Linked DNA regions of Saccharomyces cerevisiae S288C. Changing the gene in region 2 together with the main gene of any one other region gives a genetic interaction. Each region holds a gene or a part of one and is shown on either strand. Other genes may lie near its edges.

The links. A genetic interaction does not mean that the proteins touch.
Region 1: mutations in DPB3 (region 2) and HOS3 together harm fitness more than expected from each alone (negative genetic interaction), as found in Saccharomyces cerevisiae (2 studies listed by BioGRID).
Region 3: mutations in DPB3 (region 2) and RRP8 together harm fitness more than expected from each alone (negative genetic interaction), as found in Saccharomyces cerevisiae (2 studies listed by BioGRID).

What each region holds. Positions count from the first base shown.
Region 1 is NC_001148.4:327,930-332,700, forward strand, and holds HOS3 (histone deacetylase), read left to right. Parts: upstream 1-1,676; coding exon 1,677-3,770; downstream 3,771-4,771. Other genes in the region: isopentenyl-diphosphate delta-isomerase IDI1, read right to left, coding at 1-801; GTPase-activating protein BEM3, read right to left, coding at 4,171-4,771. UniProt on the Saccharomyces cerevisiae protein: Responsible for the deacetylation of lysine residues on the N-terminal part of the core histones (H2A, H2B, H3 and H4).
Region 2 is NC_001134.8:758,619-761,399, reverse strand, and holds DPB3 (DNA polymerase epsilon noncatalytic subunit), read right to left. Parts: upstream 1,107-2,781; coding exon 501-1,106; downstream 1-500. Other genes in the region: PAF1 (Paf1p), read right to left, coding at 1-143; tyrosine/serine/threonine protein phosphatase PPS1, read left to right, coding at 1,357-2,781. UniProt on the Saccharomyces cerevisiae protein: As accessory component of the DNA polymerase epsilon (DNA polymerase II) participates in chromosomal DNA replication.
Region 3 is NC_001136.10:610,282-614,252, reverse strand, and holds RRP8 (25S rRNA (adenine645-N1)-methyltransferase), read right to left. Parts: upstream 2,181-3,971; coding exon 1,002-2,180; downstream 1-1,001. Other genes in the region: TVP23 (Tvp23p), read left to right, coding at 249-848; STN1 (Stn1p), read right to left, coding at 2,328-3,812. UniProt on the Saccharomyces cerevisiae protein: S-adenosyl-L-methionine-dependent methyltransferase that specifically methylates the N(1) position of adenine 645 in 25S rRNA. Required both for ribosomal 40S and 60S subunits biogenesis. Required for efficient pre-rRNA cleavage at site A2.

The DNA of each region.
Region 1 (4,771 bases), on a different chromosome or scaffold from region 2:
GTTGAATAAGTAATTCTCGCAAATAATCTTAAACCAAGGCGTAAACTTGTAACTTGGGTCAGCAAACATAGTTTTCAAATCATTTGGTGAAACCCATTTGAAGTCTCTAACTTCATTGACGTTTGGGTTGACAGTCAAGTTTTCTTTAGCGTTGATCTTATAAAATAGGATGTAATCAATTTCATGTTCACCCCATGGTTCATTGCTTGGTGCCATGTAATGGATTCTGTTTAAAAAGTGAAACTTACCCCTTGTCTTAGTTTCATCTTCTGGAATACCTAATTCATGATCTAGTTTTCTCACCGCCGCAGTAATAGCGCCCTTAATCTTATCGTCTAGCTTACCCTTCAAACCTAATTCGTCATCAATACATAGTGGATGAGAGCAGCATGTGTTAGTCCAAAGATCAGGGAAAGTTATTTTTTCAGTGGCTCTTTGTTGTAAAAGTAATTCACCTTGTTCATTGAAAATAAAGACGGAGAATGCACGATGTAGTAAACCCTTTTCAATATTTTCCATTAAATGACAAACTTTCTTGGTACCGGCACCAATAGCATTATCGTCCCAATCCAAAACAATACAATTTTCATTCATTAACTTAATTTGCTCCTCATCATGACCAGAAAAACATGTTTCTCCGCTTTCGTCATTTGACGTCTCACTAGATCGGGTATTAGGTCTTTGTTGTAATGGAATAATTTCAGGAAACTCTTCCAAAATGTCTTCAGGTGTTTGGTTTTGCACTAATTTGGCGTAACTAGATACTGCACCATGGGGCATACTATTGTTGTCGGCAGTCATTGAGGTGTAATGAATTTTTGGCTTATTTTTACTCTTCCTGTATTCCAAATACGAATACTCTAATATTGAATTAAGTGGGATATACGCCTTCTTGTCACTAGAAAACTGTTTCCTGTTAAATAGATAAAAATGAATAAATAAATATAAATGGAGTTAAGACCGAAAAAGAAAGGCAACCCCCATCGACAAGAAAAGAGTTATGAATAATCATGTTTCTTAATAACAATTAAAGGGAAAAGAATCGGCTGGGCATCGTCATTGCGAAACTGTTGACTGGAAAAATTTCAATCACAATTAAGTTTTGTCCATTTCGTTCCAGCAAGAACGGAAACTTTTACCGATAGCAGCGGAAAAAAAGAAAAAAGAAAAAAAAAAGAAATTAATATAGGCAAAATAGCCGCATGAAGCCCTTAATAACCTATACTATTCTGTGACTGTTATTTATTTACCCTCGTAATATTAAAAATGTCCTATACAATTTCTGTAATAAAACCTAATTTTTTTAGGACCCTTGAGTGTTACCCTGCTCATGTTTTTATTTTTGTTTTAGAGAAATGTAAACAACAGTTTGGGAAAGTTTCAAGAATTGTAAACAACTAATCAAGGGATAATACTATTTTACTCTTTCCTTTAAACATGAAGAACTATTTTTTGTTTACGTTTTTTTCTGAATTGAACAATAAGATCTTGTTAATTTTTTTATCGCTTGATCTATTATCAGATCTTCTCTTTTGAAAAACTAGTCCTTTTCCAAATTACAAACTTTCTTTTCGTGTGGAGTTGATCAGTTCAGTTTCTCCAATACTTCTTAAGTCACTGAAAATATAACGAAAAAAAGGGCTCTGGAAGTAAACAGAGAAATTCGACGATATAATATGTCTTCCAAGCATTCAGATCCATTGGAGAGATTTTATAAGCAATTTCAAGCATTTGTTCAAAATAACCCTAATGTCATATCGGCAGCTCGAGCTGCCGCACAAATACCGGAATCTGCAAAAGCTGTTGTAGTACTATCCCCATATTCTTTACAGCATGTGTTCCCGAGAGAATGGGTAACAAAATCGTATAGGAAAACTATAGTCGAACGACCAGAAAGATTATTAGCAAGCTCGATGGGTATATCAGCTGCGATTACAATGTATCCATCCCTTTTCACCTTGAAATCCTCGCATCAAAGGAAAGGTTCATTGATGGCACCTCATGTGCTTAAAGTTCATGGCAGTAGCTGGCCGGCTGAGTTAATTGAACTTTGCCAAATGGCAGATGCTAAATTGCTAAAAGGCGAAATCGAAGTCCCAGATACTTGGAACTCAGGTGATATATACTTGAGCTCAAAGACAATTAAAGCTCTACAGGGAACAATTGGGGCCATTGAAACTGGTGTTGACTCAATTTTCAAAGGACCATCTGCAGAACATATTAGTAACAGAGCTTTTGTTGCTATACGGCCTCCTGGTCATCATTGCCACTATGGTACACCATCCGGCTTTTGTCTGTTAAACAATGCACATGTAGCCATAGAATATGCGTATGATACTTACAACGTCACGCATGTTGTCGTGCTTGATTTCGATCTACACCACGGTGATGGGACCCAAGACATTTGCTGGAAACGTGCGGGTTTCAAACCTGAGGAGGAACCTGAAGATTCATCTTATGATGATTTTGGTAAGAAATTTGCCGAATTTCCCAAAGTCGGTTATTTTTCTATGCATGATATAAATTCATTTCCAACAGAGTCGGGATTTGCCACAAAGGAGAACATTAAAAATGCATCTACCTGTATCATGAACTCTCATGACCTAAACATCTGGAATATTCACTTATCCAAATGGACAACCGAAGAAGAATTCAATGTATTATACAGGACAAAATATAGAACTTTATTTGCTAAAGCAGATGAATTTTTCAGGAGCGCAAAACTAGAAATGAATCAACAAGGGAGACCATTCAAAGGTTTGGTTGTCATAAGCGCAGGTTTCGATGCATCAGAATTTGAGCAAACTTCAATGCAAAGGCATAGTGTCAACGTTCCTACAAGTTTTTATACAACGTTCACCAAAGATGCATTGAAATTAGCACAAATGCACTGTCATGGCAAAGTTTTGTCTCTAATGGAGGGTGGATATTCTGATAAAGCTATATGTTCTGGTGTTTTCGCACATTTGATCGGTTTACAAAACCAAGATTGGGTTAAAGAATGGGGGTCTGAACAAGTCGTTAAAGAGATTGTTCGTGGTTGCAAACCGGCTTGGAAACCCTATAAGACAAAAAGAGCAAAAGATGTCATAAGAATATGGGCAGAAGAAGTTATCAGGCTGGGACGAGCAATGATACCGGAATTCGATGATATCATTTTTAAAGACGCAGTTAACAGCGCACCTTCTAATTCTCTACTAAAGGCTACTGTCGAACCAGCATCCACGTCGACAATTGCTCAAAGAATAATCAGATCTCATAGAAGCAACGCTTCCCCAGAAAAAGAACTTCATGAAAACAAGCCGAGAAGCACGGAAAAACAGGAACAAAGGGAAATTAGAAGCGATACCAAGGTCAAGCAGCTCTCGTCAAATAATAGAGCAGCTGAAACCCAAATTCCGTTTTTGCAACAAGAATTTTCCAGTGAGGATGAAGATGAAGAATACGTTTACGATGAAGAATTGAACAAAACTTTCAATCGCACGGTGGAGGATATTACCATTGATGATATTTCTAGACATTTGGAGACCTTAGAAATTGAAAAAAAAGGTGATGAAGATTCAGACCATGAGCTAAAAGAAAAAAATTGGAAAAACTCGCACCAACGCCGTCTACAAGGTAATGGAATGTATAAAATTCCCTCCAATACGAAACCGCATCGCATAAGACAGCCTCAAAACGCAAATACACCAACTTATGACGATAGTGATATATCAATGATTTCTCATGTTTCAAGAAAACATACAACAAGAAGTGGTGGAAGATGGTGATACCAATGCATATATAATGTTGTCTTGAACCCACTAAAGAAGTGACGCATATATTACTTTTTTGTATTTAGTAACACAATTTTTCTATTTTTATATTTCCTTGTATAGTTAGTAATTTTAATTTTTTTCCTTCTTTATCTCAGCTCTTCGACCATTTGGTCAAGAAGTTAGTTTTTTTCTCTTATTTTATTTGACAATATACTAATTTTATTATATGGTATTGTAAATAACATTTGAGGAATAAAAAGACAGTCACTCTATAAGCTTTATCAGCCTGACATTTTTTTATTATTACAAATATATCGTTGAAAGAAAGAAGCCTCTATACATCTCGCCCTCTTTCTATCATTAAATCAATGGAGGTTTACTGGCAACGTTATATTTCTACAATTTTAGACCATCAAACCTGAGGAATATGTATATCTACTTTCTCCCTTTCCTCTTCTTTAACTGGTTCACCACCCTGAAATATACACGCAAAGTCAGTGATGAATGGTTGAAGCATACTAATTGGAATATTTAGAGTTGGGGAAAACACGATGCATAAATTTCTTAGATTCATCTTATTAAACTTACTATTCTCATTGATCCTTACCAGCAGTTCAAAAAGAGCATACATCAACGATAGGTTAGCGTGAGGAACTAGGCCAGATTCAATAAGTTCCTTAAACCCCAATGATATTTGAACAGGATTATTATGATTTTCATCAACTACTCTTTTAAACGACAAAAATTGTTCGTCACCAAATAATAAATGGGGCAACTTTCTCAAGTACAACTTTAGTAACCCACTTACAGTATTCACACCAATGTAAAGACTTGGAGATGCCTCATCATCTTTAGCTTCAATACTTTCATTGTACCGACATAAATCTACATCGTACTCTTTATCAAACCTTTCTTGTAAAGTTTTGATAACTGTACTGGACCCGCTTAGTCTAAATATGCCTTCTTCCTGGATACCACGGTTTTTGTAAAGATACTCTAAGCAACGATAAACT
Region 2 (2,781 bases):
ATGTATAGTGAATTGATTAGTTGGGAGGAGTCTGCATTCGTCTCCGGAGACTCGGGGTAAACCAGAAGTTTAGGAGGTAATTGTGGCACAGGCAAGCTGTTTTGGTATTTTATTGGTGCAATATATTCCTGTTTTTTGGACATTGTGACCCTTTATACTATTATGAGCACTGTTCTATTGTACTGAATACATTTCTGTCTATAATTAACAACGTATCAATAATGACAGTATTAATTCATCCAATGTTACAGTCGTCATTTTTTTCTTTTTCCATTTCAGAAAGACAAATTAAGTTATTCGTGTAATGTGATTATTATTTTAAAGCCCTTGTTTTTCTTCCCTACATAACAGCTCTAACCTACAAAATATTAATTATCCCTAAGCTTTTTCGAGATGTCCTTTTAAAATAGTAAGTTCAAGGTTAGGGTTCTCATTGCGTGTATGTATATGTATAACATATTGCATCGAATAGTAATTACATAGCAATAATAGCAACAACACTAAGGATCGGTGCTTTTCGTATGGTCAACTTCGATATCAGAAGAGTCGGAGTGTTCTCCTACGTCTAGTGCGGATTTATACTGGAATCTCGACAGCAAGCTTGCCACACTGCGCGTGGATTTATCATTTTGTTGATCTTTACTATCATCAAGAAGTTCTTCATTGTGTACGGGCTCTTCTTCTTCGGATACCTCGTCTTCTTCTTCTTCTTCCTCTACACCATCATCCTCATGCAATTCAGGCTCTTCTATAACAACCTCTTGATCGCTCCGACCCGGTTGCATGTTTAGTTCTCTCTTCTTGTCGAGTGCGCTATTCTTCTTCAGTTGTTTAATGGCATCCTCTAGAAACCTGAAATTATCTCTTTTTTCGACACATTCTTCTATAGAATTTAGGCTTAATCGTAGGCTTGTCTTTCCTTTCGAATTCAGTTGTGCTAAGACCAGCGATTCTTCGACGAGATTCTGTACAAATAACTCAGCAGCGAATGCGGTCGCTGATATAGCTACATTAGATGTAATTACGTATTCGGGGTCGCATTTGGCAATCTTCTTTACTTTAGATATAGGAAAGACAGGTGCTTTTTCTTTAACTAAGTTGGACATTTTTTTTGCAACACGGTTGACCCTTGCTTGTTTTTATCTGTTGGGGCAGGCAGTTGTTAAGGCCATTAATTTCGCGTAATAAAAATAAATTATTACTTCAAAAGCATCATGGAAACATAATTGCAAGAGTTTTTAAGGTTCAAAAAGAAAAGTACAAGAAGAAGTAAAAAAGTGAAAAGAAACACCAACCATAAAAGAGAGATTGTCATTGAGGTAGAAGGGGCGGGTATAGAAAACTAGAGCAACAACCATGGTTTTGGAAGTGCCCTCAATCACACCTGGTGAACTGCATGATCTTATGCGACTACATCAGGATGCAGAATGGCCTGAATGTAAAAAAATGTTCCCCTGGGCTCATGATATTTCCTTTGGTCAACCACCCGATTTTCCTCATTCTCTTGCAATAGTCAAATCGCAATCAGATGCTAACAATTCTGCGCTTTTGCGTAATTCTCTCGAAGTGAATGATATCTTCCAGTCCTGGAAAGTTCGCACTTCCTTTCATAGAGAGGGCGATACCTGTGAAACTGGAAATGATTCTAATGGTTTTCAATATCCCAATAACACAAAGGAACTTTTGAACTTGCTAAAGTTTCAGATACGACAATTGGAATTGCAAGTGGATGATGTTGCTTTGGAAAACGCTGCTACTTATTGTCACAATCATAGCATTTTACCATTTCTGAAAGTAGATCCTCGTGGACTATCATTAGAACTTAAAAGGTATTCTAGAAACAAGGTTGGGTCTAATACCACGCTAAAACGGAGTGGGCAGGACGTCTGGGGAAGGAGAGGTCTATTCCGAAGGTTCGACCTGCAATGTGCCAAGATGATAGAAATGGTTGATAATATAGTAATTTATTGTTCGCGGACTGGTGGCAGCACTGATATGCAAACAGAATCAGCGCCAGCGTGCTCACACGAGGGAAATTGCCCCAATTGTACAACCCTTGCACTACTTTTACAGATCTGTTTAATGTTTGTTCAAAAGGGTTATGTAGGGAGTGGAGGATCGCTTTACAAGACGAATCTTTTTATTTGCACTTATCAGAATTTCAATACAGATATACCTCAAACTTTGATTGGTACACCTTTATTAGACAACGAATTTTTCAAGAATAATACTCCCTTGAATTTATGTTCGTCACCTAGTGAAATAGTGTGTTTCAATAACGTTGATAAGAATATGGTTTTGTGCGAGAAGTTAGAGTTGAATAAGCTGACTTCAGCTACACGATTGGAGGAAACAGGGTTGATTTGCGGTAACACCACTGATTGGCATAATTATCAAATAATTAAAAAAAACAATATATCTCTGACCCACCGTTTCGAAGAGAATACAAGCATAGTAAATTTAAAGTCTCTAAATTATGATACGGACAATCCGACAACCTCCATTTCTCAACTGTATAACATACCGAATACAAAAGAGGTGTGGAAATTGATCATAAAATGTACGTCAAACTCGCAAATGCCGTCGTTAACGAAAATCCGAACATATCTAGATCTTTTATTAGACGATGATGCGTCAAAATCACAAGAGCATTTGCATTTGACTTTCCCTGCCTCAGGTAGTATAGGTTTGGGGAACTTAAACATTCAGTCTGTGGAAATTCTTTTGAATGTTTGTTATTTAATATTTCAAGTATCCCAAGTTCAAGAATTATTGACGTTC
Region 3 (3,971 bases), on a different chromosome or scaffold from region 2:
AATAGAAGGCGTCATACATATTTATATATCAATGTATACATTCCATTCCAGTTACTTCTTTTGCATCTTGCTTCCTGTTTACCTTGACCTCGAACCTATTATTTGTCCGCAATGCGCCTTTGGGTGAAAAGGGATTTCGTTTCCATTTTAACTGTACATAATGTAAATGTAGAAAAGCGTGGTTCTTAAAGGATTTACGGTTCAATACGCTTTTATAAACCTGCTGGTGCTCTAATTACGAATGAAACATGGACCAGGCAAGAAATTTCTACAACACAATTTTAAAATCGTCGCACCCGTTGCTACTATCATTTCATCTGGCAGGTAAGGCAGTTCCCATTGTATTTTATATCATAGGATCAATGTTTTTGAATTTCACACCTCAATTCATCACTGTCGTTCTTTTACTTTCTTTTGACTTTTACTTAACAAAAAACATTACAGGTCGGAAACTGGTCCAATTACGCTGGTGGTATGATTCTACAGATGTGAACAAAGATTCTAATTTTACTTTCGAATCATATAAGCAATATGCGCCGGGCCCACCAATAAATGCCATCGATTCTAAGTTATTCTGGTGGTCGATGTATGTGACACCCGTAATCTGGGGTGTCTTCGCTGTGTTGTGTCTTTTAAGACTGAAAATATTCTACCTGATTTTGGTCATTGTTGCAATGTGTCTGACCGCCTGGAACACGTATGGATTTCGTTGTTGCGATAGATGGGAGCCCAATAGTGGACAATCTGACGGTCAAGATACTAATAATTGGTTCGCTCTTCCTTCTGTTCCGGGCTTTGAAAATCTTTCAAGGCTGGCTAATATCCAATCGTTTTTCCAGAGACAATAAAACCTTGTCCCTCATGTGAACATTGTGGAGTACTTCTTCTAGATGATTTTTACTTTACGCAATGTACTACAGGAAAAGAATACAATTATATGTATAAATATAGTATACAAAAGAAAAAACAATATTAAAATATGAAAATGACGGATGAAGTCGTTATCTTCTTTTATAAATACAGGGCTTCAAGAGCCATTTTCCTTCGGCAATTTTCCGTCTTTTCTTTTCTAATTCTTCCTTCTCAGTTTCAACTTCAATAAACTTTTGTCTTCTTTCCAATTTCTGCCTTCTCTCTTCAATAATCTCCGCAGGTGGCTTGAAAAATTCGAATCTTGTAAACATCTTATTCTCGTCGAAGGTCTTTTTGTGAAAAAATCCCATCAGCTTCAAAGCGTCTACAAATTCATTACCTTTGCCGTCACTAAACCTTGATTTAATTTCTGCGATCCATAATTCACCCCTTGGCGCTAAAATCCTATAAGCTTCTTTTATGAAATCGAGGAAATTTGTACCCATTAGAGCCAGGCAGAAGACCACTATAGTACAGGACTCATCTGGTAGCGGCACATTTCTAATATCTGCCACAGTTATTCTTTCGTTAGCTTTCTTCAAATCAAAACTGTGGACTTTATGGCGTCTTTTCAAATATTTCTTCGCTTTCTTATTGTAATTTTTGAAAAAATTGTTGATTTCTAATGCTAATTGAGCTTCACCACACCCCATATCAGCAATAACTATTTCTTTACTATCCTTAAGACCTGGTAACCCACCTGGAGCATTCACAGGTTTCATGCATCTATAACGAATTTGGTCAACAAAAACATCAACTGGATTTTCCGGCCATGCTTGCACTTGTGATCTAAAACCATCATGATATTCGTCAAATAATTGTGGTTGTTCTTTTATTAATTTCAAAGCTTCATCAGAGCTAATTGTATACAGTTGTTCATTGATCCATCTAAATCTAGAACCAGTCAGTTTAGCCATCATCTTTTGTTGTAAAGGGGTTAGTTGCTTCTTTGTAGGTTTTTCAATATTTTCTTTTACTTGCATCAGAGGGGCTTCTTCATCGTGCTTGCGTTTCTTGCTCGTTTCATTTTGATCACTTTTCTCTTGGTTTTTTTTTGGGATGTCTTTGGCTACTGATCCTTCGGAAGGAATGTCTTCCACTTGTTCCTTCAACTCAGCCTCTGTCTCTTCTTTCAACTTCTGTTCTCTTGTAAGTTTGCCATTTTTTCTATTATTTTTTTTTTTATCTTTTGAAGACTTATTAGTCTTGTTATCAAAAGCGACGGTTTTTGTCTTAATAGACCAACCTTCTACGTTAAATAAGGCCATATAAAATTTCGTTAACGTCCTTATTTGTTTGATATAATATATATACAATATATGCATAAAGTTATAGTATCTTATTTTGAGCTCATCGCAAAATTTTTCAGGCCTAGAGAGATGCGCCGTTATTGACGATGCGAGTTTTCTAACAAATTATGAATATGCTGCTGCGTATTCCAAATGTAATAATATTCCACTGTTTTGGTCCTCCATACCATTCTTCGGATCAAGATCAATCCACCAATTTTTTAGTACCTCAGGATACTGTTTCTTTGTCCTTTTAAGACATTCTTTGAAAACATCAACGATGCCGTTCGTTGTTATGTACGGCAAATGTAGCTTTTCCTGAACATGACTTAATTGCACAGTGCCTGTATAACATTGTAGCTTCATTAGAACTGATATACGTTTTTCAGCATATTCAAAAAGATTTTTTAGAGGAAGCAAATCAAATGTCTCACTTGTTTTATCTTTTAATCCGATCAAACCCTGGCTGACTAGACGATTAACCAGGTCTCGAAACGCTTCCTTTTCCAAAGAGTCAAAAGATTTCATGACGCCAACATTTTGTTGTTGAAACAAAAACGATGCTAAGCTAGTTACTACGCTGCGTACTTCCTTTAGTTTGTAAAGGTCAGAATTAGAAATCTCTTTCATTTGTAGTCCTAATAGGATCAACATCAAGTTTGACTTTGCTGATGTCCTATTGGGAATCATCACAGGTAGATTAGCGCTTTGATATTCTAGTTTTTTTAACTGTTCGTCATTGCCGTTGTCAATTTGATCACCTGAATTCAAAAAGTGAGTTTCAGGAAAATCCTTTAGCGACGATACAAACCGAAATGACAAGGAATGCACACTATTCGAAGTATCTGTGCTATTGTATGGACTAATAATTTCTAATTCATCCTTCAAGCGTTCTTCTTGCAGTTGCTCGATGAAAGTAGTTTCATTTCTTTTACTTTCTGGGGTTTTGTACCCTATACCTACAAAATCCGGGTTTACTACCTCAATCTGTGATGTCTCAGGTGTCCACTCTTGCTCTTGCGTGAACAATTCTCCAATTACAAAATCGCTTAAGGACCAAGGCGTGTCAAGTTGCTCACGCATGTTCATTGTGATTTTCCAATGATCTATTTCTTCCGTTAAACTGTAGCATAATCTTAAATATTCAACTTGAAGCTCTTGATAGTTCAAACTTGCTTGCCCGTAGACATGAAGAGTTAAGCCTATCAAATCGGTTATGTTCAACCCCCATGATAGGATGCTATCCTTCTTAACTTTACATGTTAAGAATCTCATGTCACTAGTATAACCCACCAATGAAGAGTCTGAAGTACAATCGTCCAACTGAAAAAAAATGTATTCTTGTTTCCCAATCCATTTGAACTGGAGTCCAATGATGCAGCCAATAAGGTGTATTTGCTGTAAAGGATGATTTTTCCAGAACAACATCGACAACCGCCTATCATAATACTTTTCGCAAATTTGCAAAGAAACTCTCATCCGGTACTTTAAATCTCCAACAAATATTCGAACGTCCTCTGTCCCACTATAATAACTGTTGTATTTGAACAGCCTTGGAATATAATAACAAACATCGCCTTCTTGATGAGCTATATGTCCGTACTTATCCATGGCTCCAACCCATTATTAAAAGCCAGCTTATTGCTCTTTTTTCGCACAGAAATGGAATATCAACAAGCAGGATTTCATATATTCCAATGCTTACTTCTTTTTCCATGCCTTTACATACTTCTTTTTGGTGTGATTCGTGGTTTTGTTGTTAGAATAGCT